4 linked regions of the Tamandua tetradactyla genome follow. The protein of the gene in region 1 interacts with the protein of each later gene in a biochemical or structural test. Links are inferred from orthologs where the notes say so. Each region holds a gene or a part of one and is shown in the gene's direction. Other genes may lie near its edges.

The links.
Region 2: the proteins of UBE2E1 (region 1) and PRKN form a complex in vitro, tested with the Homo sapiens proteins (2 studies listed by BioGRID). The link is inferred for Tamandua tetradactyla from reciprocal best matches to the Homo sapiens genes UBE2E1 and PRKN.
Region 3: the proteins of UBE2E1 (region 1) and RNF14 form a complex in vitro, tested with the Homo sapiens proteins (3 studies listed by BioGRID, with this or other methods). The link is inferred for Tamandua tetradactyla from reciprocal best matches to the Homo sapiens genes UBE2E1 and RNF14.
Region 4: the proteins of UBE2E1 (region 1) and RNF4 form a complex in vitro, tested with the Homo sapiens proteins (2 studies listed by BioGRID, with this or other methods). The link is inferred for Tamandua tetradactyla from reciprocal best matches to the Homo sapiens genes UBE2E1 and RNF4.

The regions. Positions count from the first base shown.
Region 1 is NC_135341.1:64,540,470-64,547,318, reverse strand, and holds the start of UBE2E1 (ubiquitin-conjugating enzyme E2 E1), read left to right. Parts: upstream 1-3,840; 5' UTR 3,841-3,948; intron 3,949-4,086; exon of another isoform or gene 4,087-4,107; 5' UTR 4,108-4,191; intron 4,192-5,175; exon of another isoform or gene 5,176-5,291; coding exon of another isoform or gene 5,292-5,294; intron 5,295-5,327; 5' UTR 5,328-5,361; coding exon 5,362-5,513; intron 5,514-5,573; exon of another isoform or gene 5,574-6,849. UniProt on the Homo sapiens protein: Accepts ubiquitin from the E1 complex and catalyzes its covalent attachment to other proteins. Catalyzes the covalent attachment of ISG15 to other proteins. Mediates the selective degradation of short-lived and abnormal proteins.
Region 2 is NC_135337.1:66,442,585-66,449,547, reverse strand, and holds the start of PRKN (E3 ubiquitin-protein ligase parkin), read left to right. Parts: upstream 1-3,954; 5' UTR 3,955-4,072; coding exon of another isoform or gene 4,073-4,079; intron 4,080-4,085; exon of another isoform or gene 4,086-4,572; intron 4,573-6,963. Other genes in the region: PACRG (parkin coregulated gene protein), read right to left, coding at 3,377-3,532. UniProt on the Homo sapiens protein: Functions within a multiprotein E3 ubiquitin ligase complex, catalyzing the covalent attachment of ubiquitin moieties onto substrate proteins. Substrates include SYT11 and VDAC1.
Region 3 is NC_135346.1:22,074,681-22,082,233, forward strand, and holds the start of RNF14 (E3 ubiquitin-protein ligase RNF14), read left to right. Parts: upstream 1-4,539; 5' UTR 4,540-4,653; exon of another isoform or gene 4,654-4,719; intron 4,720-4,747; exon of another isoform or gene 4,748-5,105; intron 5,106-7,553. UniProt on the Homo sapiens protein: E3 ubiquitin-protein ligase that plays a key role in the RNF14-RNF25 translation quality control pathway, a pathway that takes place when a ribosome has stalled during translation, and which promotes ubiquitination and degradation of translation factors on stalled ribosomes.
Region 4 is NC_135345.1:2,217,436-2,225,368, forward strand, and holds the start of RNF4 (E3 ubiquitin-protein ligase RNF4), read left to right. Parts: upstream 1-4,926; 5' UTR 4,927-5,393; intron 5,394-7,933. UniProt on the Homo sapiens protein: E3 ubiquitin-protein ligase which binds polysumoylated chains covalently attached to proteins and mediates 'Lys-6'-, 'Lys-11'-, 'Lys-48'- and 'Lys-63'-linked polyubiquitination of those substrates and their subsequent targeting to the proteasome for degradation.

The DNA.
Region 1 (6,849 bases):
GACATTTTTCCACTCAGCTGTAAGGTAGATTAAAAACAACAAACAAAACAAAATATATTGACAAATGTTAATTTGCTTTGAGAATCTTTGAAATTGACCAAAAACAACGATTGCCTTTATGAAACACTTAGAGTTGAGTATAAGCAACAGGCCAAAAAATAGGAGTGTTCAAAAGTTAGATGGGACTTTGAAGACTTCAGGTTGACTGAAATAAGCCAGACACAGAAAAACGAATGTTGTATGATCTACTTTATAGGAAATAGCTAGAATATGCAGAATGATAGAGACAGAAAGTAGATTATAGTGTCTGGGGTGGGGCCAGGGGTGGGGAATGCTGAGTTCATGCATAAAGGGCTTGAAGTTTCTGCTTGGGAGATGGAAAAGTTTTGACAGTGGATGATGGCGATGGTAGCACAACACTGTGAATAATAAGCATTATTGAACTGTGTACCTGAAATTGATTAAAATGGGATATGTTATGTTCTATATATGTTATCGCAATAAACTTTAAAAAACATCAAAACCAAACAAAACCATTACCAAAAAAGTTATATTAGGTCTCTTTCTTTTGAATCAGTTGTAACCATTTCCTCCCAAAAATGGAAATTCCTATTGCTTTCCTCCTGAAGATCAGCTTAGGTCTGTAAGCACCTTGATCTTGAAGTGCTTCTACTTAAAGGTACCTGATACTCTAAAGATGACTTGGAGAGCTGGATCATTCTGAGAATGAGGAATAAGTCCTCGTAAAAACTAGAGCCTTCTTCCTCAAAGCCCATAGATATCGCAGGACTGCAGCACTTGGGGTTCTGTGGCTGGATGCATCTTTTAAACTTAAATTGAGAATTCCTATCAAAGAACTCGGTGTATGTATACGCATTTGCTTTCACAAGTATAGACTACATCAGGAAGTACCCACAGAAAACTGCTTTCAGGGCTGGGGAATTGGGAAAAGGGCAAAAGGATATTTTCTTTGTATATCCTTTAGTATCTTTTAATACAGCACAAAAATAAATTACCTATTTAAAATATGTCCATAAATGTAAAATAAATAATGAGGAATATTCTTGGGATGGGGGCAGGAAGCTTCAATAAAGGTCATTGATTGCTTCAAGTCAATATTATAAATTCAGAGATTATTTTAGCTTGCCTCCACCTTTCTCCTTCCCAAGTATGTCTTTATGGTTAATATATTCCTGAAATTATTACCAGAGGTTTTTTTTTTTATATTGAATACGTTTTTCTCCAATGTCACTGAGCTTCTCTCCTACCCCACTGCCATTCCCCCAATCTTGCCATGACTGACAAAATCATCTATGAGCAGCATGGGCCATTGCCACAATTTTGCCACCGACTTACTACATGACCTTGGACAAGACTTTGGCTTTCTTTGCCTTCATTTCTTCATCTCTGATTTGAGGAATTTAAACTAGATGAAATTGTAGGCCCCATCAAGTAATAAAATCCTAGGATTTCTTGACTCTTTCTCCTTAGGAGTTTTTTAGATACTAGTCATTAATTATAAGTCATAAAGACCCTGTGTCAACAACATTCCTGAGAAGAAGGACCAGAGTGGAATTATAAATAATTTGTTTTGTGTTACTGTTAATAAACCACCTTCACTTGGCTGATCCTTTTAACAATTTTGTTAGGCAGCACAGTGGTGCTGTTATGCTTGACCTTTATATTTGAGGAAACTGAGGTTCAGGGAAGGCAATTCAGTTTGTTAGGCCTTGTAGTTAATAAGTAGAAGAACTGGTTGCAAATGAATTTTTATGTTTATTTTTCTGACTAGTACAACTGCATATTTAAAATCTGACCTAAAGATTAGACTTTTGAGAGGAGTGGATTCTTTTCTAAACATTTGGAGGGTTTTATTCCCCCCTCAGAGGGTCCTTCCCCCAAGCCATGAAGCATTAACCAGGGCTAGTGCGAATTAGAGATAAGAAGGAGCAGTACACAAGAGACAGCGGGTATCTTCTGAGACACGTGGTTGAGAGAACACTTCCCCATTTAGGAGGAGCCTTTAGATTATGTTTTATATCCCCAGGGACCAGCACAACCCAGGTATCAACAATGAAACACAAAATGCCATGTTCATTTTTAAAAATATATATATTATTATAGTTAGCATCCAAGTATACAATTTATGCAAATCATAATTAAAGGAAAAAAAAAATCCATCCACCATCCAGGTCACTTCAGCAAATCAAACTTCTAATTTTCCTGTGATCTCTACTAGCTTTTATCTTTATGATACATTAATGATTTTTTTACTGGTAGAAATCATAGCACAGATATGTATTTTTAAATATTTGAAATCCAAATGTTCATAACAGGGAGTCTATATTTTAATAACTGCATTTATGTTATTTTCCTTACCCAAACTGAGTTTATTTAATCTGTTTGCTGATTGTTTTCTCTTGGTTTATATCGTTTTCATTAGAAGTACAAAAAGTATACAACTTATTTTCAAGATTTTTTTGTTTGCTTTCAAATCCAAACAGCATGAATGTCATTCTTTTTTATATGCTCTACCCGGACTCCTGAAACCAAACTCTGAGAAAGGTTATCTCTGGAAAACGTTTTCAAATCTAGTATATGCCTTAGGGTGGTTAAGGGATAGCTCTGTCTGGAGTAGGAGACTGAAATGATGACCTACAAAGTCTCTTTCAGTTTCTGGACTCCTAGATTCTATGACAATTCTTGGTAGATAAAGGTTTCCTGGTAAGGATTGAGCAAGAAGCATACCTTATTGCTTTATGAATCTTGATAAAGTTGGAGTTTCAGGTTGAAGGCTAGAAGAAGTAAATTAGCTGGGTAATGAGAATGCTTGTTTTCCTGATTCCTATGCCATGGGTTTCTACATTTTGTTGTGGTGTCCTGTGGTGAGTGAAGCCACTGTTGCCATGGAAAATGATGGCAATTTGAATGAAGTAATTCAGAGTGGCCCCTGGAAAACTGGACTGGGCTGTCTACTTCATGTATAAGACCTTGCACAGCACTGTTTGTTGTTATTTAGATGGAAGACATCTCTTCAGTTCCCTTCAATTGAAATGGCAAATAGGTGAGAAACTAAACAGTAATTTGATGGTTTAATACTAAAAAAATAGTCTTGGTAAAAACGCAAAGTAAGGATTAATGCAGAAAAATTACTAAGTGATTTTTCTAAAAATATTATTATTATTTGAATAACATTTAAAGTTGAGGCTGAGGAGGTACAAGGGACCCCAGAACTTTGCATCTAATTTCCCAAAATCAAACTTTCTATCTAATGTAGGTTAACACCAAAAATTATCAATCTAGTCTAAGTACCTGGCTTATTCTCAGTGATTTCTTGCATTTGCAAACCTGTCACACTTTGGTTTTACCTGTCATGAAATCCTTTGTATCATTAAAAAAAAGTCACATTGATTTCTATTAAAAAAAAAAAAAAACTGGAAGAATCCTCAATTTTAAATATCATGTTCCTCGTGCCCTGAACAGAAAACTCCCAGTTTGGGATTTTTTTCTCAAAGGCGTGCGTGCCTAAACTCTTAGCAAGTAATTTGCCACAGGGAGAAGCAAGTGTTAGCCCAAAGGAAAACCCCTTCTATGGGGTTTTCTTTTTTCCCTTTAAGCTGATCACTTTTTAGGAGGAGTTCCCGCTGCATTCTCTAGTCCAAAGTCCTTGCCACCAGATTACCATCTTTTCCACCAATCTGCCAAAGCCTTCATTGGAAAAAACTTCCTCTCTAGTGTCCCCATATGCATTCAGTTCCAGTAGCTCCCTGCGCCCCCATTTCGGACTGGCTTTCAGGATCCAGTTCCCCAAACCACTTCAGGGAAAATTCACACCCTTAGCCCCCTTCCCGGGTGTCCGGAGGAGGCGCCGGGGTGGGAGTCGTGTGGACCGAGGGGGCCGGGATTTTCCGGGGTCCCCGGTGTCCTCCTCGTGTCCCCCACCCCGAGGTGTGCAGGGGGGAGGGGAGCGCGGGTGGGTGGGACTGGGCCGTGTGGGGGAGGGGTGAGGGCGAGGAGGAGGAGGAGTGTGTGTGCGAGCGTGTGTGGCTGGGGGAAGCCATTGCCTGTTTAATAGTTGCTGTTGCTGCACTTCCGCTTCTCTCCCAGCGAGAGAGACACGAGTGGCCAGGCCCAGCCGCAGCCGCAGCAGCAGCCGCCGCGGCGGCACGGAGGAGCCAGACACAAAGAGAGGTACGGGGATCCCCCCGCCGCCTGCCGCCCCCTGGCCGCGCCGCGGGGCCTCGGGGACACCCCTTGCCGCCTCTCCCGACCCGCGCCGCCGGGACCGCCGGGCACGGGGTTGGAGGGGGACGGCGAGGGGCCCAGGAGCCCCAGGGGTCCGGGGCCCGCCCGCGGGGGATGGGTAGGGACCCCAGGCCGCGTGGGGTGCGGGGGCAGCCCGCGTCGGGGGCGGGGGGGGGCATCGTGGCTCGAACTGTCAGCGCTGCCCCGGGAGCCCCCCACTGGCCGCCGAGGGGGCCGGGAGCGGGGGGAGGGGAGTTGGGGGAGCCCAGTTTTCCCCTGGGGTGGGGGCCCGCGGGGATTAGCCCTCCTGGGAGGGCGGACTCATTGTTATTCCTTCGCTGCGGAGGCCGAGTTTCCCCCCACCCCCACCTCCCCAGGGGTGGCGGTCGGGCGTGGGCTCGGGACCCTCAGCCGCGGCCCTGGAGCCCGACTGGGGTGGCCCAGGGGCAGGCCAGCAGGGAGGGGCGTCGGGGCGCAGCGCGTGGCGGGGGGGGGGGGCTTGGGCCTCGTCGCCCCTGCCCCCGCCGGCCTCTCCCTTCCCCCACCCGGGCACCAGCTCCCCGCCTCCGTCCCCCCGTTTCGGCTTCCTCTCTTACTCCTCCCTGCCCCTCCTCTCTTCCCGACCTCGCTAAACTCCGCTCCTGGCCGCAGCACCTCGCTCCGGCCCCCGGCCCCCCGCGACCCTCGAAAAGCCGACAAAAACAGCCCCGAGGCCGAGCGGCCGTCGGGACCTTCCCCCCTGCCCGGCCGAAGCGCCCAGTGCCCCCGCCCTGTCCTGCTCCTCCGCCTACTCGGCCTCTCCCCACCCTGCCCCGAGGGGAGCCCCGGGGGGCGAGGGAGGGGCCGCTTGCTTTACTGCAGACCGTTTTCCCACCGCGTCTCCGACTGGAGCCAAAAATAAACAAACCCGCCGTATCGGATTTGCAAAAGCCTTAATGCGGCTGGAGACTTCGAAAAGCGAGTGGAGGCCGGTGGGCGCCCGGGGGTGCACTCCTTGGCCCGTGCTCTCCTGACAGCGCCCGAGTTCCTTTATTTACACCGGCTGTATGGTTTGTTTCTGTTTTGTTTCCCTCACCCTATAGGGGCTGTTTGTGGGGTGGGGTGGGGGGGTTCGCTATGTCGGATGACGATTCGAGGGCCAGCACCAGCTCCTCCTCATCTTCGTCCTCCAACCAGCAAACCGAGAAAGAAACAAACACCCCCAAGAAGAAGGAGAGTAAAGTCAGCATGAGCAAAAACTCCAAACTCCTCTCCACCAGCGCCAAGAGGTACGGTACTCTTCCCACGCCCCCATCCCACCCCCACCCCGGAGGCTTCCTATTTTCTGAACCTTCTCGGCTTGGTTTGGTCTGCCACCCAAGTGAAGGCAATTTAAGTGTCCTTCATGGTTGTTTTATGTGTTCTTAAAATTGAGAAAAGGGCCTTAGAAGCCCTCATTACTTTCTCTCTGGCTTCTTCTTTTTCTCTTTTAATTATTGTCCATATGTAGTTTCTGTGGTTTGCCTCTCCTATATCTTATTGAGGTTTGTAAGAATCCTCATTACCTTTAACAGTGACCCCCAAATCTGATTTCATATTACTTGTCCTCTTAATCACTGATCTGTCACCCTCCCTACAGCTGTCATCCCTCTTGTTAATTACTAATACCTGCCTGGACAACTCTGTATCACAGTGAGTTCTATTACCCTCTCACTTCCTCCTCACCTGTTGCATGTATGATCTTTTTTGAATAGAGCTTTTTCCGCAAATTGCATAAGGAACAAATAACTCATATCAGTAAGGTAGAACATTTAGGAGGTGAAAATATGTTTTTAAAAAGAGTTTTCTGTTTGGAGAGTTGAGGGAAATGAGTGAATAGATGATTGTAAGATGGTTATTGTAGGTTGTTTTGCTATTTTGTTCTTGTTAACCACATTTCGGGAAGACTAAACGTTTTTTTTCATGCTGTTTGCTCTTGTGCTGCTGTAAAAGATTGCATTTTTCCCCAAGTTGAGTCTCTCATGTCTCAACTTATGTCTCCTCTTATGTCTCTGGAACTAGCTACCTTTTACCTCTGTCATCCCTCAGTAATGTCCTCTGATTCTCATGACCCTTACAATAATCTGGGAACCGCCAGACACCCTTTCATAAGTCTTCTGTTCTCAGTCGTTAAAATATAAAGTGGTAAACCAGAAAGACTTTAAGGAATCCCAAGTGGTAAGTTATATAGGGGATTTCTTTCTTAAAGGAATTTAAAATAAAATGGAACATGAAGCTTTAGATCTTTCTGCTGAGTAGTCAGCCCAGAACTTGGAGTTTGAGAGTTTGTTGTCATTCTGCCTGACTTGAAATTTGAAAAGTTGGTAAAGCACTTTGGTAATCTAACCATGGGCTGATGAAGGAAAGACTAGCTTGTTTTAATGGTGTGTATGTCTTGAGTTAAATGGTAAAAAAGATGCCTATGCAAGATTGTTCCCATTTTCAGAGGGTTGGCTTGATTGCATCTCAGCCTCCTACAAGTCTTAATGGGCCTTTATTGATTAGCGCTGTTGCTGGTTCTCTCAGAACCCCGGACATCTACCGTGCCCAGTTTGGATGGGTCTTCCTTGACCCTGGACAGCTTCT
Region 2 (6,963 bases), on another chromosome or scaffold:
AGTAGTAGATGAAATTAAAACATAGAAAAACTTGATGGCCCTAAGGAATGATTTGACTTTTTTAATAAGAATTAGGGACCTCCAGAGTTTTGAGTAATGAAATGAGTAGAATTTTGTACTGGAAAAGTTTATGTAAATAACTGACAATTACTGATAATTGATTGAGGCAATTAAGCAGTAGAGTCCAGAGATGAATTTGGATGATATTGTTAAATCTAGACAAAAGGCGATGAAGGTCTCAGTCAGGCTATTGTCACTTATTTCTATCATCTTTAGTATTTCTACTGTACTGAATAAGTATTTGAAAGCCCTTATCATAAATATGTGTGTATTGGTATTACAATTATTTTTACTTACCTATCTCCTTTTCTTCCCCAGCAATATAACATGTTTTAACTCCTGCATCAGAGACTTCTATTTATTCTTTCTCATCCTTATTATAGGAATAAAACTCAAGTTTTAGCAAGGCACAGAGCTATCAGTTAGAGGCTTCATGTCCCAGCCTCACTTGCAACTAGACATGGCTATGAGAATAAGTTTCCAGAGTGAGATAAGAGCAGAAGTGATGAATGCAAATTCTGGAAATGGAGAGCTGGGTGCCTTATTCTTGCAGGTTTTTCATTACCCATTTTTCTCTCATTTTGCTGAAACAGGTATTGGAGACCATAAGGTATTGGAAACTACATAATTTTCACAGACCTTTTTCTGATGTAACAGTTATGGGAACCTGGGAGTTCCTTCAAGGGTCAATTTTTTCCCAGGCTTTTGCAAAAAGGGAAAATAAAGACATATTACTAAATTCTGGCCAGTGGAATGGAAGTGAAAATGGGGTATAGCATCTGGGCCATGCCCTTGATAGGAACTTATTTGTTTTCTTTTTGAGAGCTGAGACTTAATTTTGGTGGTGGTAAGTTAACTTTGACCAAGGACATCACCCTAGTAAGTATGCAGGAGGTTCCTGTGGCCCCGGACCTACCTCACAGGGAAGTGTCCAAACTCTCAGGTTTGCTATCAGCTTGGACTTCCATATGGGAGAGCACAACTTCTAACTTGGTTTCTTAGTTAGTCTATTGTTATTTGATCTCTGTTGAAGCAGGCAAATTAAGATCTTAATACATAATTTATAAATATTCATCATTACTACTTTGGATGAATTTATGATTGGTAAATGTTAAACTATCTGTGTATGTAAAGTAACATTAAAGAATTATTTCTTCCATTCCCTAAACTTTGGGCATACAAGTTTTGTAGTCCATTGAGCAGTAAAGATGTAGTAGAAAGTTTAAGTTGAAGACAACTTCTCGATCAAAATCTTGGGCCCACAGCCTAACTTGCTTTATAAGTTAGATAAAGCACAAAGTATGTGTCCAGATGAACTCAAAACAATACTGGGTTCCTGGTTTCTGGTTATGGTCTTTATTATACTACGGCCAAGGTTGTGCCAAAGTCTATGCTGCTGAAGAGGGAAATGGTGACATGTAAATATTGGAAATTGAAGACACCTTTTTTTTTTCCTGTGCCAGTTGAATTAGTCTGCTTAAAAAAATATTGCCTATATTTGTTTTATCAAGTCTTTACTGTTGTTGGCAGTGGTTTTCCTAGGAGAATTAATTACAGGGACTTTGCTTTGTTCACTACTGATCCCAAATCCCCAGAACTCTGCTTAGCATGTAGTAAGTGCTCAAAAAGAACAAAAACAAAAAGTAAAAACGCTGTTAACTGACTGAATGGATGAATCATGTTTGTATCTAACAATTACGATTTTCACTAAGTGAAGTAAAATAATGACTTATCAAGAGATGAGTTACTGGAGATCCCAGTGGTGATAAATGTATTATACTAAAAGATTTTCCTTAAATATATGAAAAGAAGATAATTTATCTCAAATACTTTTTTGTAAAGAGAACTGCTTCAAGATTAATGTTTTTGAATCTTACAAGCACATTTGTTACATTTGGCAATACAGAAATATCCAATTTTCCAGTATTGTGACTAGGTGTAAGTTTATATCTAAGAATAAATCTGATATAAGAATGTAAGAATATATGTTTAGAAAAAAAAAGAGAAAGAAACTGGCCATTTTTCTACATTTGTGGCATTAAAATATAACATTTAAAATATCATCAAAATTATTATTTAAATATTGGGTAGAAGCAAATGTAAATGATAAACTTGAATGGTTATGTTATTCTGTATTGTTGATGACTCATTTGGGCTCCCATGAGAATCTGCTCACATGAAATATTGCAGTTACAACAAGCAGGGATTTTAGTTTATCTCCCAAGATTTTAACTACTATAGGTCAACTGACATATACATTAATAAAGTGAATATTATTTTGTATAGTAATTTAGGAATCTGACATAGAGCTCTAGATGTAATCTGTTTCATACATGTATTTTATAAATAGGGTTTAGGAATAAGGTATTAAATTTGCAACATTTAAGTAAAATAAATAATGTGACACTGGGAAGCAACACTATTCATATAATATAATGAGATACAATAAAATAAATCAGATTCTCCCAGGGTATAAATTATACAAACTTGGAAGTTGTATTTATTATTTAATGTCTCATTCCCAGACAGGTGCTTTCTCAGTAGTAAAATCTGTTAACATACCAAATTTAAAGCTACTTAACAAATAGGATTTAAAAAAACAACTATCGTGCATATAGCTAAACCATTTCCAGGCATTTAATTGTTTTTGTAATAATATTAAGAATATTTTATTTTTATTATCAAAAATAGTAGAAATATGCATTTTACAAATAGACTTGGATTGTTAAAAAGTATCATTTAAAAGATTTGTCATGAATGGACTGACTTCCTATTAGGTTGCCTTTCAGTGCTCAAATAAGCCCATGTCATTTTGTAAGGATGCGTGTTGTTAGCGTGGATGGTAAGATAACCTAAATGCCCCTAGGTTAAGCAGTTATTACTGATGATTTCATGAGTTTTTGTTCCTAGTAGTACATCAGCTCCTGTTAAATTTTGCAAGAGTGAGAATAACTCCTAAGACCTCACCTTCTATCAGGCCCTGTGCCAGTGTGGCTATTTTAGGAGCTGAAAAAAAGGGGATCTTTTTTCTTTGTGTAAATAGCTTAAGAGTAATTTTGGGTTCCTAGAAATTGTGAGTTATTAGAAAGGTACTTATAAATGGGCACAGTATATCTCTTGTCCAGGATCCTTTCTAGCCAACCTAGTCTGACCCCACACATTGTTGGGCACTGCCTGCCATTGGCGGAGTAATTGTCATTGTTGGCAAAGACCACCGAGGACAACAGCTCAGAATCCATCACACGGCCAGCTTAGAACAAATAATCTCGTGTACCCTGATTCGGAGCGAGTGCATTCAATCAGGAAGATCACTTACGACTGAGTTTTTCATCATGGCTTTGACTGTGAAGCCCTCAGAAACCAGGGAGTGCGGCTGGTGCACCGGGAGCGGCTGTTGTGCCAGCAGCTTGGTCCTCTTCGGCATCTTGTCTGGGCATTTGCTTAAGCTCAGGGTCTCTTTTTCAGCCACCATCTTTCTAGAAAATGTCTTGTTCTCATAAAAAGTGTACTAAGAATCAGTGGGGTTTACAGATGTGAGAAGGTCGGGAAAAAAACGTCAAAGGGCGCAATAATGTTAGAAATTCAACCCCTCGTAGTGCCCAGGCTGATCCAGATGTTTGGCAGCTCCTAGGTGAAGGGAGTTTGGGGGAGGGGAGGGGCGGGAAGAGGGCAGAACCGTGGTTAGAGCTGCAACAAGCTTCCAAAGGTAAGCCTCGTGGTTGCTAAGCGACGTATCAACACAGCGGCCCAATGGCCTCCGTCTGTCGTGACGTACGCTTCCTGGGCCTTGAAGCCGGAAAAAGTGGCCGAGAGGCGGCGAGATGGAGGGGAGGCTGCGCGTCGAACTACAATTCCCGGCAGGCCGCGGCCGCGCGGCCTCCGCGCATGCGTGCTGCGACCTCGCCGGGCGCAGGGGCGGGGAGGTCCGGAGTCATTTAAGCCCCGGGAGGCGGCGGGCGCCAGTGTGCCCTAGGTCGCTGCTTGCCGAGCACTCGCCACCTGCTCAGTGACCATGATAGGTATGTGGGCGCCTCACAGGTACGGAGTGGCGTGGCGCCGCGCTTGGGCCCAGGGCATTCCAGAGAGCCCGCTAGTGCTCTCCGTCCTGATAGGGCGAAAAAGAGTGCGCCGCCCGGGTGTCCTTCCCCCGCCGACCTGTCGTGTCCGTCCTAGAGAATAAGTGTGTGTGCCTAACACCCCCTCATCCGCCCGAGACTGAACAGGGACTCCCTGAGGACAGCCGCGCCAGGGACGCCAGCTAAAGGGCAGCGGGGGTGCCGCTTCCTGCCGGCGAGTGGCCCCTCCCCCCGCGGCCTGCGCGGCGGTAGCCGCGTGGTCAGTCCCGAGGGCCGCTTGGCGCTCGCACCGCCTCCCGCTCCCTCCTCCCAGGAGCCTGGTTGGCTGGCGGTCTGCGTGGGACCGATCGGAGCTCACTCTCCGCAGGGCTCTGGAGGGGAAAACTTAGCCAAGCAGTCGGACTCTCAGGGAAGGGACAGCAGGACGATGCTGATGGTGGGTGGGACCCAGAGATTCCTTAAAATGAATGTAAACGTCCTGCTTCTCGGGTTTTCCCTATTCAATCTCACATCGAGGGTCTGAGATCAAAGAAGAATGAACTATTAAGATTGTAGACTTGGTGTCTCCTGCTTTTCGCATATGGATTAAGGGTTATTTCTGAACACATTGCAGTTTTGTGAATGGCACTTTGGAAGTGAATATTAGGGTTGTTTATAAATGTTATGATCTTGAGAAGGAGCAGAGGTCTCTTCTTCCAGGGTTGTTAGGCAAAGACATTTTAGGGATTATCCCTGAAAATTAGCGGAAAGCACAGTAGGAGTAAGAAACTACTATTTGGGGATTCGTTGTCACAGACTTGTTCCGTGTTATATATTGAAGTCTCGGTGACCTTGTTTGAGGATTTACTGAGGAGTGTCCACTTAAAAACACTTGATTTCGACAAATCAAATGTGGTGTGTCCAGAAAGGTGAAAGGTGGATTTAGAAAATATATGCGTTTCTATGCACTGACAACACTCCTTAACTCTGGTTTGTTTATAAAATTAATTTAAAAATGAAAAACAAGTCTAGTCATCACTGGGAAAATCACTCTAGTTAACTGACATTTTCTCTGCAGCCATGATGAAACCTAAGGATATTGCCCATTTTTGCTTAGCTTTCTAGCGTGGTGTGTCTTTTGGTGAATGACGTTTGAAAATATATAAATATATAAATTTTTATAAATCCTGTTGAGCTTTTTTAGGTGACAGTTATTCAAGTTCATCTGGAAACATAAATCTGAACTGAATCAGAACTAAGCAGTAGAGATTTTCGAAATTCATGCTGTTGGTATTTCACAGGAAAAACAACTTTATTTTGAAGACAAGCGTTTTTATGTTTATGTTATTTTAATTCGACTTAATCTACTGTAGAACTATTTAAGAGAAACAAAATCTATTGTGAAACTATATGAAGACAGGAACTTAAGATCTAAAACCAGCACTCTAAATTATTATCTACTATATACTTATACAGATAACTTTATTAGGATGAAATATATCTAGGCTGTTTTGTTTAGTTTTTATTTGGGATATATGCACACAGCAGGGAAGAAGTATTGTATTTGAATTTGAAGGTTAAACAGTTGTCAAGACTGCTAATGAATGAATGATTTGGAGACTACAGGTAGGTTTTTTTTTTTTTTTTGACATGGGCAGACTCCTAGAATCAAGTCTGGGCCTCTGACATGGCAGGTAAGAACTCTGCCACTGAGCCACCATTGCCCGCCCTACAGGTAAGGTTTTAAAAGATTTTTTTTTTTCATTCCCAGCTATTGTATATTTTTACGTAGTGCAAATAAGTGTATTATAACATAAATAATTAAATCCATGCCTCTTTTCCCCTCAAAAAAAGTATGACACAAAAAACAATTATTGTAAACTGACATTTCCTTGCATGCCTGAATAGATAATGCTCGATCAAGTATTTTATGCAACATGTTGCATTATCTAATTCTGTTGGTTAGTGCATTTGAATAAATATCTTAGTAGGCAGTTTTCAACTTGGGAGTGTTGAAGAGTGCTAAAGGTACATGAAAGTTAGTGGGAACAGTTGAAAAAAAGTGCCTTGGGTTTTATGTTTTTGCGACCAAATTTTGGATCTGGGAAAGGCATTTTGGTTTTTGCCCAGCAACGAACTAGAGGTCAAAAGATACATAAATGTACATCTGGAGATTGTTTTCTTATTAAAAGACACGTCTTCTACTCAGAACTTGCCCCTTTAAATGTCTCTATGCTCTTTAATCACTATACCATCTTAATGCAAATAATGTAATTCTATATTAATTAAATCCTGGCTCTCTTTGGAAGGAAAATTAAGAAGGTAAGAATGTATGTTACCTCACTACCAGTAAAATTACCTTCCTTTTACTTTGTCAAAGCCCAAGATTACCTTCTTGGCACTGACTTAGTACTTACATTTTCATTTGCAATGTTAAATGCCCTGACCCAGACAATTACAGATACCTAATTTAATTGAAGCCAGTGAAAAATTATGACTTTGTGATAAGTATGGAGAAGGGCTTCAAGATAACATAAAGCAGAATAGAAAAATTTAAGAAATATTACTTAGAAAAATGTAATTTTTGGTATCTATTAAAAATACTGTTACCCTTTTTTAAAGTTAGCTAGATTATTGTGTATGTTTTAAGTGTGAGTTTAAAACTTCTTTGTTTTTAAAACTGAATTTTAATAGTGATATTTATGATATATCCTGTTCTGAAAAACTAGATGTAAGTATTTGAGTAATATCAGGTATTAAAGTCCATGGATAAATGTAACCATGTATTGAAATTCATTTTCAGCATCTTATACTTTTAAGTTTTTTGGTTAGATTTTTGAAAAGAATA
Region 3 (7,553 bases), on another chromosome or scaffold:
GAGAGAACCTTCTCGACCAAAGAGGGAAGAGTGAAATGAGACTAAGTGTCAATGGCTGAGAGATTCCATACAGAGTCGAGGTTTTCCTGGAGGTTATTCTTATGCATTCTTATGGTTTTCTCCAACTTCTCTATGTGCTGACCTTGTTCTGAGCTCTGGTCTGGGTCACACACCTCAACCTCCCTTAGCGCTGGACTCTATCAACTAGTATGCCTGGTGACACTGGACAGGATTGGGTCTCTCTCTCTATTCTCATTCTCACCTATCGTTGTAACATAAACTCTAATCTCAGCTTCCCTAAGTCTCCCATTTTGATTCTTAAGGCCAGGACTATTTCATTCTCTCTGCATTTCTGTTATAACAAACCCTAATTCTCTTACCGGATATGGGAGAGGGATCAGACTGACGAGGAATTGGTCCTAGTCCTGGCTCCACCACTGTACCAGACAGGTCAAATCACTTCAACCCTTAGTGCCTCAAATTCCTCATTTATAGAATGGAGAGACAAAATGACCTAAGTGATTTTAATGAGATAATGCATGCAAAGTTTAGCTCAGCAGAGTGCTGGGCACACAAAGAGAACTCAATTTAAAAGATTAACCAGGCACATGAAGCCAAAGACGCGAGTCGGCAATTTTTATGGAGTCTGCAAACAAAACTTATTAGGAGACTCCTGACCTTAAAACTGAAATGTATGTCTTTAGCCCACTGTAAACATTATCTAAATTATTAACACTGCTCTGAAATTTTCTCTTCTAGTCCCCCTATCCCCTGACCTCTGATATAAGGTCATGAAATGATGTCACAATTCACTTCCTGCTCCAACTTTGTGAGAATTTCCCTTACCTGGTTCGAGGAGCCTCTCATTTTTGCATCTGAGAGATCTCCAGCAGGATTCTCTCTCTCTCTTTTTTTGTATTTAAAAAAATGTTTAATATTTTTTAAACATAAGAACATACAAACATGAACATTCTTACCATATGATCATTCCATTCTTGGTATATAACAAAAAACTCATAATATCATCACCATGATGATTTCTTAGAACACTTGTATTAATTCAGAAAAAGAAATGGAAAGAAAAAAGAGAAAAACTCATACATACCATCCCCCTTACCTCTCCCTCTCATTGATTGCTAGTATTTCCATCTACCCAGTATATTTTAGCCTTTATTTCTCCTATTTTTTCTATACCCCTGACCACTCCCTTTCATTGATCACTAGCATTTCAATCTACTCAATTTATTTTAACATTTCTTACCCCATTATTTATTTATTTTTAATCCATATGTTTTACTCATCTGTCCATACTGTAGATAAAAGGAGCATCAGACACAAGGTTTTCACAATCACACAGCCACATTGGGAAAGCTATATCATTATCCAATGGTCATCAAGAAACATGGCTCCTGGAACACAGCTCTACTTATTCAGGCACTTCCCTCCAGCCTCTCCAATATACCTTAACTAAAAAGGTGATATCTATATAATGTGTAAGAATAACCTCCAGGATAACCTCCCGACTCTGGAATCTCTCAGCCATTGACAGTTTATTTTGTCTCATTTCTCTCTTCCCCATTTTGGTCGAGAAGGTTTTCTTAATCCCTTGACGCTGAGTCCCAGCTCATTCTAGGATTTCTGTCCCACGTTGCCAGGAAGGTCCACACGCCTGGGAGTTATGTCCCATGTAGAGAGAAGGGGAGGGCAGTGATCCAGCAGGATTCTTGTTCTGACCTGAGCACTCTGAGGTAGGGTTGTCATGCATTTTGCTCTTGGTTTTATTTCCTTTGGTTAAACTTGAATACTGATATTAGCAAATGGCTTTGGAGACTCTTATTCCTTCCTTTCCATCTATAAGGCATATGTTTCTGGTTTGGGTACCTATTACTGGGGTAGTTGGTTTCTTGTTATGTGATAATATCTACAGTACAGAAAATTTAGGAGTGATTTTTTTTTAAGGAGGGATTATTTGCATTTCAAAAGTTTTCTGTCTACGGCAGCCAAGTGAGACCCACATCCCTTCCACAGGCACCTTGATTGACCTTCTTTCATTTCCTTCCCCTCTCTCCTGGAAACAGGACTGTCTACATAATTTGCAATGCCCAGTGCAAAATGAAAATGTGGAGCCTCAAAGTCGTAAGAATCAAAGAATTATAATAATTCAAAAATTATTAAGAATTTCAAGGTGGTGGTGACAGCAGTATGTTAAGTACAAGTGCAAGATCCTTCTACACATGAGTGCTCCACACCCCGGCTTTTGTAATGCAATTTTGTTGAGATATACTCACACACCATACAATCCATCCAAAGTATACAATCAATGGCCATGAGGACCTTTTACCTACAGAGTCCTGGGCAACTGCAGAGGACACTGGCCCATGAAGCGACCCTGCAGGAGGCAGTGGTAATGAACAACAGAAGCTTTAGAATCCCATAGGCTTGGGCTAAAGTTCCAGCTCTGTAAGTTCCTTTTTTTTGGGGGGGAGAGGGGAGGCAGGGAAGAAGTATATGATAATAAGCAGGAGCTTATTAGGTCATTAAGAGCAAATTAGACTCATGGTTTCGGAGGAGCAGAAGCCAGCATCCCCATGTCCCATGTAAGTGCTGAGAACAATGCTTTGCATCTGATTTTAAAATCTGAGATATAATTTACATACCATAAAACTTATCCTTTAAAAATATGTAATTCAGTAGACTATGATATATTCACAAAGTATATTGATCCCCAAAAGAAATTCAGTGCCCATTAGCAGGTACCTCCCATTCCTTTCTCCCCCAACTCCTGATAGCCACCTATCTTCTTTCTGTCTCTATAGATTTGTATATTCTGAACATTTCATATGGAATCATACAATGTGTGACTTTTTGTGAATGACTTCTTTCACTTAGTCAAATGCTTTTGAAGTTCATCCATGTTGTAACACTTATCAGTACTTCATTCCTTTTTTTGTGGTTGAAGAATATTCCATTGATTGGATACGTAACAATTGTTTTATCCATTTATTAGCTGCATATTTGGACTTTTTTCCACTTTTTTGCTATTATAAGTAATGCTGCTATGAATATTCATACAGAAGTTTTGTGTGTGAACATATCTTTTCAATTCTTTTGGAGAGATATCTGGGTGTGGAATTTCTGTGTCATATGATAATTCTGTTTAACTTTTTGAGGAACTGTTAAACTATTTTCCACAGTGACTGCATTATTTTACATTCTCACCTGCAATTTATGAAGTTTCCAATATCTTGACATCCTTGCCAACACTTACTTTCCTTTTGAAAAGATTTTTATTATGATGGCCATCCTAGTGTGAAGTGGTTTCTCGTTGCGATTTGATTTGAATTTTTCTGATGACTAATGATGTTGAGACTCTTTTAATGTGTTCATTGACTATTTATCTACCTTCTTTAGAGAAATGTCTATTCAGATTCTTAACTCATTTTTAAATTGGGCTGTCTTATTGCTAGGTTGCAAGAATTTTCTATTCCTTATCAGATATATGATTTGAAAATATTTTCTCCCATTCTGTAGGTTATCTTTTTCTTGATAGTGTCCTTTGCGGCACAGCTTTTAATTTTGAGGACACACAATTTATCTATTTTTTTTCTTTTATTGCTATGCTTTCATCAGTGTAATATCTAAGAAACTGTTGCCTAATCCAAGGGAAAGAAAATTTACTCCTATGTTTTCTTCTATAAGTTTTGAAGTTTTTTAGCTTTTATATTTAGGTTTTTTGGTCTATTTTTAGCTAATTTTTTTTATATGGTGTGAAGCAGAGGGCATAGAATTTTATTTCATTTTATTTTTGTCTTTGTATTTTATTTTTTAAGGGCATAGAATTTTAATGCCCTCTCAGCCTCTCTATAATCAGGCGATCTTCGGTAATTAAAAAAAAAATTCTCTAAGTCTTATTCGTAAAGTGAAAATAGCAAATAGTTCCTAATTATACGGTTATACTAAAGATGAAGAAAATGTACCCACAGCATTTTGCACAGTGTTTAAATCACCCTAATTGCTCATTGTCAAAATATGAGCTGAATTAATGCTTTCATGTGCAGTGCCAGGAAAAGTTTAGCTTTTCTGAGAAAGTAGTCAAGGTAGGGGTATTTTTTCCACAGGCAGCAGAACTTCCCTACCAGTCCCAGTCCGCATCCTCAACTGACCGCTGGCCTCATGGTGACCTCTAGGAATTGGTTAAAAAAAACAACCATCTGGAATTCCAGGTCTCCATTTCAGATTTACTGAAAGAAATCCTCTGAGCGTGAGGTCCCAGAATATGCAGTTTTTAAACGTTAAATATAACACATATACAAAGAAGAGAAAGAAAAAGCAATGCTTTTCAAAGTACACTTCGAAGAGTAGTTATAGAACAGAATCTGCATTTTTATCAACTTCTCTAAAAGCATATTAAAATTTGCAGGGCGGTGGTGGGGCGAGGGTGGTCGCGCCTGCAGCACCGCCTCCGGCCTGCGAGGGGCGCCGGAGGGCCCGGGGCGATCACGGCGGCTGCGCGGAGCCATCTCCTCACGCCGGCTACCGCCTCAGTTTGCACGGCCTCAGTCGGCTCCGCCCGACCCAGCTGACAGCTCCGACGGCGGAAGAGGCGGCGCGCGGGTTGAGGCGGGCGTCGCTAGGCCGGGCCGGCGAGTGGTGGTGAGGGGGCCCGGGCTAGGGTGGGGAACGGAACTCTTGGACCCGGCACGGCGAGGCGGCCGGAAGGTACGGTGGGGACCGCGCTCCGGGCGCGCGAGGCAGGAAGGGCGGCCGGGCCGGGACTGCCCGGTGGGCCTCGGCCCCCCAAACCCGGGACGGGCTCCCTCTTCCCGCAGCGGCTCAGACTCTCCGGGGCGCTCACGGAGCAGGAAGGGAAAGATCCAGTCCCTGCCCTTTCGGGACACCCAGGCGAGCCCACGGCCGGCGTGCCTGCACAGCGCCCTCTGTGTGCCAAGCGCTGAGGCGGACAACGAGGTTGAGGCCTGCCTCAGGGTGTAGTTTGAGTCGCACAAACAACGACTCAGCACGCCTGGCGGCCGGCGCGCTAGTGGAGACCCGGGCGGCGGCGTGCTGATCCGGGCGAGGGCCCACCCCGGGCTGGAGTCCGCGAGGTGTGGCCTCGCAGTATGAGTAGTATTTTCCCACGCCGAAAGGGGACCCGGCCAAGAGGGGCTTCCCACACTGGTGTGGTTTCCCATTTGTCAAAACGAATATTAAATTTGAATGAGCTAATGCCGCCGGGTTTTATTCTCATTGCGGTCTTATAGATGAAGAAACAGCGTGGTTTGACTCCATACTTAGTTTTGTTGCATGTGTGACCTTGGGCCACAAGGGAACCTAAACTGATATTTTTCCATTACTTGTTATGGATTTAAGAATAGAGTTGCTTCAGGTGGTGGCATGAGTTAAATGCACGGATTTATGCATTTTAAAGGGTTGAACACCATGTGCCTGACACAAACCACTAAATATCACTGTTAATTGTGACCCACCTCCAGCTTATAGAGGGATGTGGCAGAGTGATGACTGAGCCTATATATCTGTTCCCCCATTCCAGCACACTGCATTTCATTCCAGTGCAATTTTTTCCCAGTGTCTTAATGCAGGACACTGCTGGATACTGAAATTAATACACAGATAGAAAAGACTTGGTCCTCCTTGAGCAACTAAGGCGCGAGAGGAAGTGCCAGTTCTTAAAACTACTGTAATGCAGGTTCGAATGTGTCAATGTCTTAGGAAAGTAACAGTAAAAAAGTTTGGATTTTAAAGAAAAACGTGATGTCCAATTGGGAAAAAATGACATGGAAGAGAAGCTTTGGAGGTGGGCCTTGAAGGCTAAGTGGAGAGAATCAGGTAGAAGAAAATGAAGGTCAGAGCCCTGAATTAAGGGGTCCTGGGTGGCAGCTTGGGAAAATGAGGTCTGGTGGTATAGGTGGTGAGCTATCAAAGGGAAACAGTGCTTGGAGCAGAGGTTCTCTACCTTAACTGCTTACTGGAGTCACCTGGAGAGCTTGGAAAGCTACTCATGTCTGGAGCCACTCCCAGAGATTCTGTTTAATTGGTCTGGGGTATGGCCTAGGTATTGGGATTCTTCAGAGAAGCTCCTCACGAGATTCTAATGTGCAGATAAGATGGAGAACACTAACCTAAAACCAAAAAACTAAATTCATCTCTCACATTATTTGTAAATGTTTTAGTAGGAAAAAACAAATAACTTAATCGCATTATCACCATGTTCTACTTCCTGGTAAATAAGTTTAAATAAGATAATGTGAAAGACCTAATACACTATATATTGGGTGCTCAATAAATGTAAATTGATTCAGAATCTGATTCTTAGCTTATTTGGAAATCACACATCTGAGAATCTGTTTAAAATTTATGGCTTCATATATTTCAGGGTGTTCATAGGACTCTCCATAGTCCATCTGTGGATCCCACTCCCCCACCCTCCCGGTTAAGAACCCTGGCTTTAAAGCGTTTAAATAAAACTGTTTGTGTTTGTTGTATTGTTTTGTTTTTTAAAATTATCCTGCTGTCATGCTTAAGTTAACCTTACTTTGAGTGTCACTGGCAGGATTGAGCAGGAGAGAGGAAAAACTGGAGGTAGATGGGAAATTAAGGAATAGAAGAAACAGAAGAGGAAGGGAGAAAAGAAAAAAGAATCAACCTCCCCACCCAAGAAGATGTTTGTCAAGAGACATGGCATCCTATCTTCTCCTATGACCTTGGGGTTTCTCCTCAGCTCCTCCCAGCACTGAGGGCTGTCAGATAAGGCCTCTGTCATTGCTAGAGACCTGCAAATGCTGGCTGTGCACAGGCTGTTCTAGGGGAGTAGTATGTAGCTGTAGATTAGGCTCAAGTATGTGGTAGGATGTATAATACTTAAGTAGTGATATTGGTAATTCACAGTTTAAATTTGGAGAGGGTCATAACATCCTTTCTGCAGAGGACAGGATTTCTGTAGTGTGTCTAGTATGAGTCCCACCTCTTGGTCTCTTATCCAGCTTTAGCAATTTCATCTCTACTGGCTGGAGAATAAATGGGATTTGCATGAATTCCAAACACCCTGAACTGAAATATAGACCTCAGTGTTAATATTCTTTTCTTCTGATCATCATGAACAGGTACAAATAGAACATGTCACTGTGCCTTAGATAGGGAAGCAGCTTAAGCAGAACCATTTCATCGGCTTGGGAACATTTATTTTTTGAAAATGGAATAATTTAAAATGAATTTGTTTAAATGAATTGGCACCTTTTATAATGTGAAAAATCATGTCCTAATTGTTCAGTTCTGTATATTTCAAGTTTTAAAAATATTTTAGTTAGGAAGCAGCATATTTGCAAATGCAATTATAATCCAATATTTTAATTGACAGAATGGTAATTCTTTTTTTGTTAAAGTAATTTTCATAGATTATCATTGCATATTTTTTCATGTTTAAATTCTCTGAAATTGTTGCCGCATCTTTCAGTCACTGTGATAAAAAAGCATTGACTCACACTTTAATTGTATATTTTCATTCGTTGTGTTACCTAAAATAATAGTAAACTTTG
Region 4 (7,933 bases), on another chromosome or scaffold:
CCGGGGCTCCAGAGCCAGCCCAGCGCGGGCGAGGTCGGCGGGCCGGGGTGCGGCGGGGTGCGGCGGAGAGCGGCTAGGGCGGACAAGCGCCCAGGAGAGCTCTCGCCACACTCCATACCCCCTTGAGCCCGCGCACGTGATGGCACCTGGGGAGGGGGCGGCTGTGTGCGTCCCTAGGAGGCTGTGCCCCAGGGCACATTCAGACCAGGAAGGTGGGCATTTAACAGCAACAAGAGCAGACAGAAGTCCAGCACTATCCCCAGTATTCAGCGCTGTGTCAGAACCCCAGGACTTCCCCATAACCCAGGTTGGCTAGGAGAGGAATTTCCCAGCTTGCTGTGGAGGACTGGGAACAGATTAAATTTTATTTAGAGAAATAAACCTGGCATTTCTTACATCCTCTGTTGTGCAGTAAAATACACAATCATTTCATTCGCCATCAAGGGAATACATTAATGACTTGTCTACAGAGTTCCTTGGGAATTCAGCTCCATTCCAATTGGCTTCAGTAGCAAGTAACAGAAAGCCCATTGCCACCCAGTTTTCAGAAGCAGATTAATTAACTCACATGGCTGGCAACCCAAAGATGGAGTGGACTACAGGACATGCCTGATCCAAGAATTCTGAACTTAGGCTGATAGCAGTTCTAGCCTGACCACATCCAGAGGAAGAGGGGCCTTCTCACCCTACTGGCACTCTGGAAGGAAACATCTCTGTCCGCAAGGTCCCTGGTCACCTCTGCCTACTGGTCAGAACTGAACATGCCACTGCTGAGCCAGTCCCTGCAGCAGGGGAGTGTCTGCAGGAGTCCCTGAAGCGAGCACTGTGGCAAGACCAGGAATTACCTGTCACCTATCAGGCTGACCCCTGGAGCAGAGAGGTGATGCTCAGAAAAACAATTGGGGTGCTTTTGGCAGCACTGTTCGTTGGCAATCAACAAGGTTTCCCACCTTGCCCCGCCCTCGGGGACCTGGGAAGCTGCTCAGAAAAGGTGTGAGGGCACCTACAGCCTTTTCCAGGGACCCTGCCCTGAACAAACCTGGGTGGGAGCAGGCCTTGGACAGGCCTTGTGTGGGAGATCGGTGGTACACACACCCCTTGCCATGTGACTTTTCACCTCCTCCCGGTGAGGTGCAGACTGCCTCTCCCAGCCCTTGCATCCAGGCTGGCCCTGGGGCTTGCTTTGGCCAACAGGGTACAGCAGAAGTGGCCATGTGCCAGTTCTGAGCCCAGGCTTCAGGGGGCCTTGGAGCTCCCACTTGCTGTCCTGGAATGCTGCCCAGCCAAGGGCAGACAAGTAGATAAACAAAATGTGGTATATACATACAATGGAATATCATGTGGCAATAAGACAAAATGAAATCCTTACGCATATGACAAAAATGGATGAAACTTGAAGACAGAATGCTGTGTGAATTAAGCCAGACACAAAAGGATAGATACTGTATGATCTTGCTATTATAACCTTAGTGAAGGTAAACTCAGGCTTATAATGTAGAATATAGGGGACCTAGAGATACATACAAACTAAAGATGGGTGAAGGGTTAGCTACTGAGGTTGAACATAAATATAAGGGAATGGATAGAAATGAAGGTGGTTCATTAAAGTAATATGCCATATTGAAGGTGAACATGATGACGGGTTGTACAGAGCCAGGTATCCTACTGATCAACATTACAAATATAAAATTCTTGCATGAACTACTTCAAAGATATGGATCTTGTACAGAGAGTCCATAATAGAGGCATATGGGGGAAAACTACTCTTGCGTGCAATGGGCTATGTTTAACAGGAACCCATCAACGATAACACAGCAATATCAGGGGTAAGTATTGGGGGGAAGGACAAGAGTTAAGGGGAGGTTTGGAATTTCTATGTGGTGAGAGTGTGTTTATCAGTTATTTTTCCCTTTGGAGCAATGAAAATTGCCTAAAATCGAGAGTATAATGTTACACTATTAAGTGAGGATAATGTGAAACATGGACTGTTGACTTTGGGCATTGGACATGATGCCCAATGGATGAAGGTGGCTGAAGAATGCACTGACTGAGAAGTAGAATGGCAAACTGTGCTGTATACATGATGGGATATTGTGGAGGCTACAGAAAGAATGAAGTCATGAGACATACAACAAGGTTAATGAACCTTGGGGACATTATGTCATGCAAAATAAGCCAGAAGTAAAACAACAAATATAGTATGATCTCTTTCAGAAAATACGTGTAAGAAAATTGGGGCCTAGTGTAAGCTCTTAAAGCAGTCACATTTAGTCCAGAGTTGTAAATGTTATTTCTAGATTTTGAGTTACTGTGCTGTATATGTTTAAGCAGGTATCTCCCTGGAAGTTTGGCTATCTGTATGACACCTAAGACTCAGAGCTGGAGTTCTGCAGTGCTAAAAGTCAGCATTGCTACATACCACAACTGTTAAGGAAACCAAAAAAGAGTTCAGGCTTCAAGGACAGAGAAGAATGAAGCTGATCTGGTCGGGACTAAGGTCAATTAGAATACAGGGTAAACAATGACATCGTATTTTAGAACTTCATCTACTGTATGAGACCAAAGAAAGAGAGGTTTATTTTGTCCAAAATCTAAATTTTCTGTAGCACATACTCTAACTCAACCTATCTGGACAGATCATTTAAACAACCCAAACACACAGAGCCCAGAATGGGAATGAGGGCTTGTTATTCTGTATAGCTTAATGTAAGGCCTGGATACATCCCAGAGTATGTTGGGCAGTTAATTAAAAAGTATTGGCAAAGTGCCTTGAGGGACAGGAGAAAACTATGGAACTATTAGGCTTTACTATCAGGGAAACCCCTAAGACTGTCTCAAACTTTAGGGACTCCCAAGTCAAGGCCATGGACTTGATCTTGAGGCTTGCGCTTATAAAGCTTATTTCTGTAGCCAAGAAACAAAGCCTACCTATAGTTATGCCTAAGAGTTACTGCCAGAAAACCTCTTTTGTTGCTCAGATGTGGCCTCTTTCTCTCTAAGCCCAGTCCTGCAAGTAAAATCATTACCCTCCCTGCTACATGGGACATGACATCCAAGGGTGGAGGTTTATGGCAACATGGGACTGGACTCCCAGGGATGAGCCTGGCCCTGGCGCCCTGGGATTGACAATGCCTTCCTGACCAAGAGGGGGAAAAGAAATGTTACAAAATAATTTTATCAGTAGCTCAGAGAGTTCAAATAGAGTCAAGAGGCTATTCTGAAGGCTACTCTCTTATGCAAGCTTCAGCTAGATATTGCTAATTACCCTGGTGTGCCAAAGTCCAACCAACACCTTTCCTGTTAAACCTAAAGAGAGCCTAGGGCTCTAAAAGTCTGCAAAAGTTTCATGCACTAAGATTACTTTCCAGAAACCTACAAGCTTAAGATGGTTCCTGCTAGATAAGTCCTGAAACCCAGAGGGGACAGCCTCTTCAAGTACCTCAACTAGTTCCACCCCCCATCCCTTATTATTGACACCCTCTTTCAACATGAAAACGTTAGAATGGGCATAGCCCAAATATCCGTAAAGATTGGGAGAAGTATCAAAGGAGGAGGAGGAGTCGTAAGGAAGAAGATAGGATTTAACAAATGAGTATGATTTATATTATATTATAAACATTATATTGATATTCTGTTTAGTCTCCAGTGCTTGGAGCAGTTAGAAGGAAAAACCTAAAATTGTGGCACTGTAATCCATACTGAACTCTGGAATCTGTTCCATAAGAACTTGCTACAATACACTTTGAAATTTATTGCCTTTTTTATATATGTTATATTTCACAATTTAAAATTTTTCAAAAACTCAAACCTTCAACCCATATTTTACAATGGAAGCAGATTACATGAAATTCAAGCAGATTATTGGTCCATGTAACTCAAAACTACTCATGCTCTGGTTATGATCTGCTGGTATGATCCTCACCTAACTCAATATTCCTGGATTGAAGATCCCTTGAGGAGACAGCATTTGGGGTGTCCTTACTGCCTGGGGGTGCCTAGGCACCACAGATGATGGTCAACAGGGACAAGCTGGGTTCCTTTTCCTGGTTGCCACGGCAACAGTCCCTCCAAGCCCAAGTCCAGGCCTGGGTCCAGGTCCTAGACCGATGCCTCCTGTCCGATTCTGACCTGTAGCCCTCACCCAGGGCCTGGCATGCCCTGTACACTGCTGTGCGATGTGTGCCCCACGTTCTCCCTCTGAGGATAACCCAACAGTTGAGACTTGATTAAATGACGGCGCTGGGATTCAAACCCGGGAAGTATGCACTCTTTTGAGCCTGGAGTTGCCTGAAATGCCCCCCAGAAGCTCCTGACAGCTCCAGGCGTCAGCCACTAAAGCCCCTGCCTCGGTCACGGTCTCTTTCGAAACCTCGACCCCGTCTCAGTGCTCCTCCACGGGTTCAGCTCTGACTTTTCTGACCCACTACCCTCCCACCTGGCACACCTGCTCCCCAACCTGCCTCCGGGCACACTGCGCAGCCTTCAGCTTCCTGGACGTATCAGGGTTCTGGGACACAGGACCCCTCTTGCTGGAGCGCTCTCCTTCCAGCCCCCAGGTCTCTTCTGCCGGGAGCCCTCCCGGCCTTCCAGCTGCCGTGCCTCCTCGGGTTCCCGCTCATACGCTTCCTTTCCAGGCGGCCGCGAAAGGGTCCCGGGATCAGGCCCTCGCCGGGAGAGAGACGGATTCGCCGGGCCCAGGGCCTGGCTCATCGTGGGTCGCGGGCTCCCCGGAGAGGCTGCAGATCCAGGGCCAGTTTCCGGCGGGCAGCCTGGGGGCGTCGCTCCAGGAACGCTCTCCGCAAAGGCCTACTGAACAGGAAGGGAAACTGAGGCCCAGGGTGAGGACGGGATTAGGCCGCGGACTAGTGTCCAGCCCCACGCGTTGTCCGGCGTGCCGGACTGTGACCTAAGAGGAGTGACTGGGGGGCGCTGAGCTCCGCAGACCACAAGCGGGCCGGCTCGGTCTGCGGGCTGCCGGGGTCACCAAGTCACGCGCCCCCGGCCCACACACCACAACTCCCGAGATGCCACGCGGTGGAGAGCCGGTCCTCCTCGGCTCTCGCGGAAACATGGGAGCTTGAGCGGGAGGACGTGGGTGGGGCCGGAAGGAAGCCCTTTTCAAAGGAGTAATAGATAGTTTTCCTAGCCAATAGGATTGAAAATATGATTTCTCCGCCTATTGGCCGAGGAGGTAGGGGCTGTGGCGACCAATGGGGACGTGCAAGGGGCGGAGCCGAGGTCTCCAGAGCGGAAGTAGCCCTCTGTTTAGGCGGCGGCGTCTTGCTAGTTCTCCTCCGCGGTTTCCGAAGGTGCTTTCTCTGCGGGCTCGTTGGCGACGGCGCTGCGGGACTAAGCCAGCTCCACGTAAGGCCAGGCGTCGCGGGCAGGGAGCGGTAAGTCGGCGCTCCGGCAGATGCGGGGTTCAGGCTGCCTCGCGGCCTGCACAGGCCTCATTGCAGGGGCTCGGGGAGCTGCCCTGGCGCCACTCAGGCCAGCTCGGAGCCGCCCCCTCAGGGATCTCGGCCGACTCCCCGATCTCCGGCCCGCACGGATGGACGGAGGCCGGCGCTGGCAGCGGAAATGGGAAGGCCTCCCTCCGCCCTCGGCGCCCCGCAGCGGGCCGGCCGTGGGCTTAGCCTGTAACCTACGGAGGGAAACTGAGGCTTGGGGAGGGCACCGGACGCGTCCAAGGTCACTCGGAGAGGCGAGCCGGGGCAGCTCGGGGCTAAGGCGCGGGCCTGTGCGGGCCGTTCCGGGGGAGCCGTTGCGGGGTTTTGTTCCGGGTGGCGAGGCCTCCTTTGTGTCGTGCCGCCGTCGCGGGGCCTGTGTGGCCGCCTCGGTGCCTGGACCTGGGGGTGCTCCCTTCCCCGACTTGAATGGGGAAGCTTACGGTGCGGGTGGGGGGGGGGTCGGATCCTCCAGAGAGCGTCCGCCCGGCGCCTAGCTTCTAGGAGCCGCGCGGCTTCGGGCAGCTCCTTCCTACCGGGGGTGGGGGGGTGGGGCGGGAACAGGCTATGGAGGCCAGGCCCCCGCGCCTGGAGCGCCTACTCCGCCCCTGCGCCCCTGTAGTCAGGGGTATGGAGATTATTCAGATTCTTAAGGCCTGAGATTCGAAACACTATACACAAAAAATACCCCCTTTTGATCCGTTCGGGGAGAAGGAAAGGAAATTGAACCTGGGGGAGCCTGCGGTGGCTGTTTTTTGTGTGTGAAATTTCGGCTTTTGTCTTATCCTTGCTACAGCCCATCACATTCCCAATCCTTCCTCCGCTCTGCGCCTGCACCGAGTGCCCAGAGGCAGTCTCGGGGTCTCAGCTCTGCAGTCTTCAGGCGCAGAGTGCCCAGAGGCAGACTCGGGGTCTCAGCTCTCAAATTTAGTCTTTGCACTCAAATTTAGGCTCCCTAAGTGGTCGGGGAACTGAGGCCCAGAATGGTGGAGCGATCTGCCCGAGCTAGTTGGCGTTACAGCCCAGGTTTCCTGGCTATGGGACCAGGCTTTTGAGGTCAGTGACCGAGAGTTTCTGGAGCCACTGGTAACGAAAGGCGGGTATGTTGGCAGCAATTGCTTTTCTGATGGTTTCCTTTTGAAGGGGTGGGAGACTTGTTGGGCTCAATTTTATCCATGCGTTTGAGGTGAAATGGGAACGTTGAAGTGGAAACATGTACTGCTGGCCTTTCTGTTGATTTTGAGCTCTCTGCTCTGACTCAAAAATGTTCCTTTAGTACAGTGTTTCTCAATCTTTATTCCATGATTACTCCCTAACATCCTTTCAGGCTTTTTCCAGAATTACTTCTACCTTTAAATTTCTGTGCTGCATATATACTATGTTTTTTTTTTCAGATATGCGTTCTACACCTCCCTTTCTTTCAGAGTTTTCTGTTATACCTACATATGCCTCCTGAACTTGTCCACATTTTGCTGTTATTCTGTTGTTTTTCATCTTCTCTCTGTTTTATTTTAAACAGTTTCTGTTTTTTTTAACGTACTGCATGTGTGTCTGTGTTTTTTAGTAAAAACGCTATTAGAGATTTTTTGCCTCTTTTGAGAGTGCATGCTTTAGTTTACTAAGTCAGCACATTCTTAAGGTGATCTCTGTGCCAAGCTTTCTGCTTGGGTTACAAGATAACATGGGGCTGGCCGTTGTGAAGCTAAGTAGGGAAGGTGGAGAGAGTGAGAAAAATCCCCGGCAGTTGAAATATAGGTTGAGAGAGATGTGGTGTGTCAAGAGTTGAAACTGCAGAGGTAAGCAGGCACCGGACCACGAAGGGTCTTGATCTTAAGGCCAGTGGGAGACTACTGAATTGAGTTAATAAGCAGAGAAGTAACACAGTTTGCATTTTAGAAAAACTGCTATTCGTGAAAAGGATGAATTAGAAAGGTAGACAAGAATAGTGGTCCCTGGGCCACAGTTAGGAGGAAATAGAGGTAGCTTAGCCAGGGGTTGAGTGAAATGATGGAGTCAGGAACGTGGTATCTGTGATGGTTGCTTGGCAATCACTGTTCTTTGCTTACAATTCTTCTGGGAAAAAAATCCAGGTGCTACTCAATAAAAATATGTGCATAAAGTAATTGGTTTATATGATGTGTAAAAATGGATTTGCGTGTATATGTTTTGTCTTTATTTTGAAATTATTTACCTACATCTTTAACTGTACCCAAATTTGTGGTCTTTGAAGGATAAGATCGCTCATATAGACTGTTATTGGGCTGACCCTTTATCATTGAGGTATGACTTGCATCTGTATTCTTTCAGCTTGTCTCTCCTCAAGATCCTGTTTCTCAGGTGGGCTGCAGGCATTTTGAGGTTTTCGTTGAGAACAAGGGCCCAGAGCACAGCTCTGCCCCAAGGTAAGGGTTCAAGTTTGAGAAAACGTGAAGTTTGGGTATAGGGATGGGAGTGTGGGAGTGGAGGTTGCTGCTGCAAGGATCAGA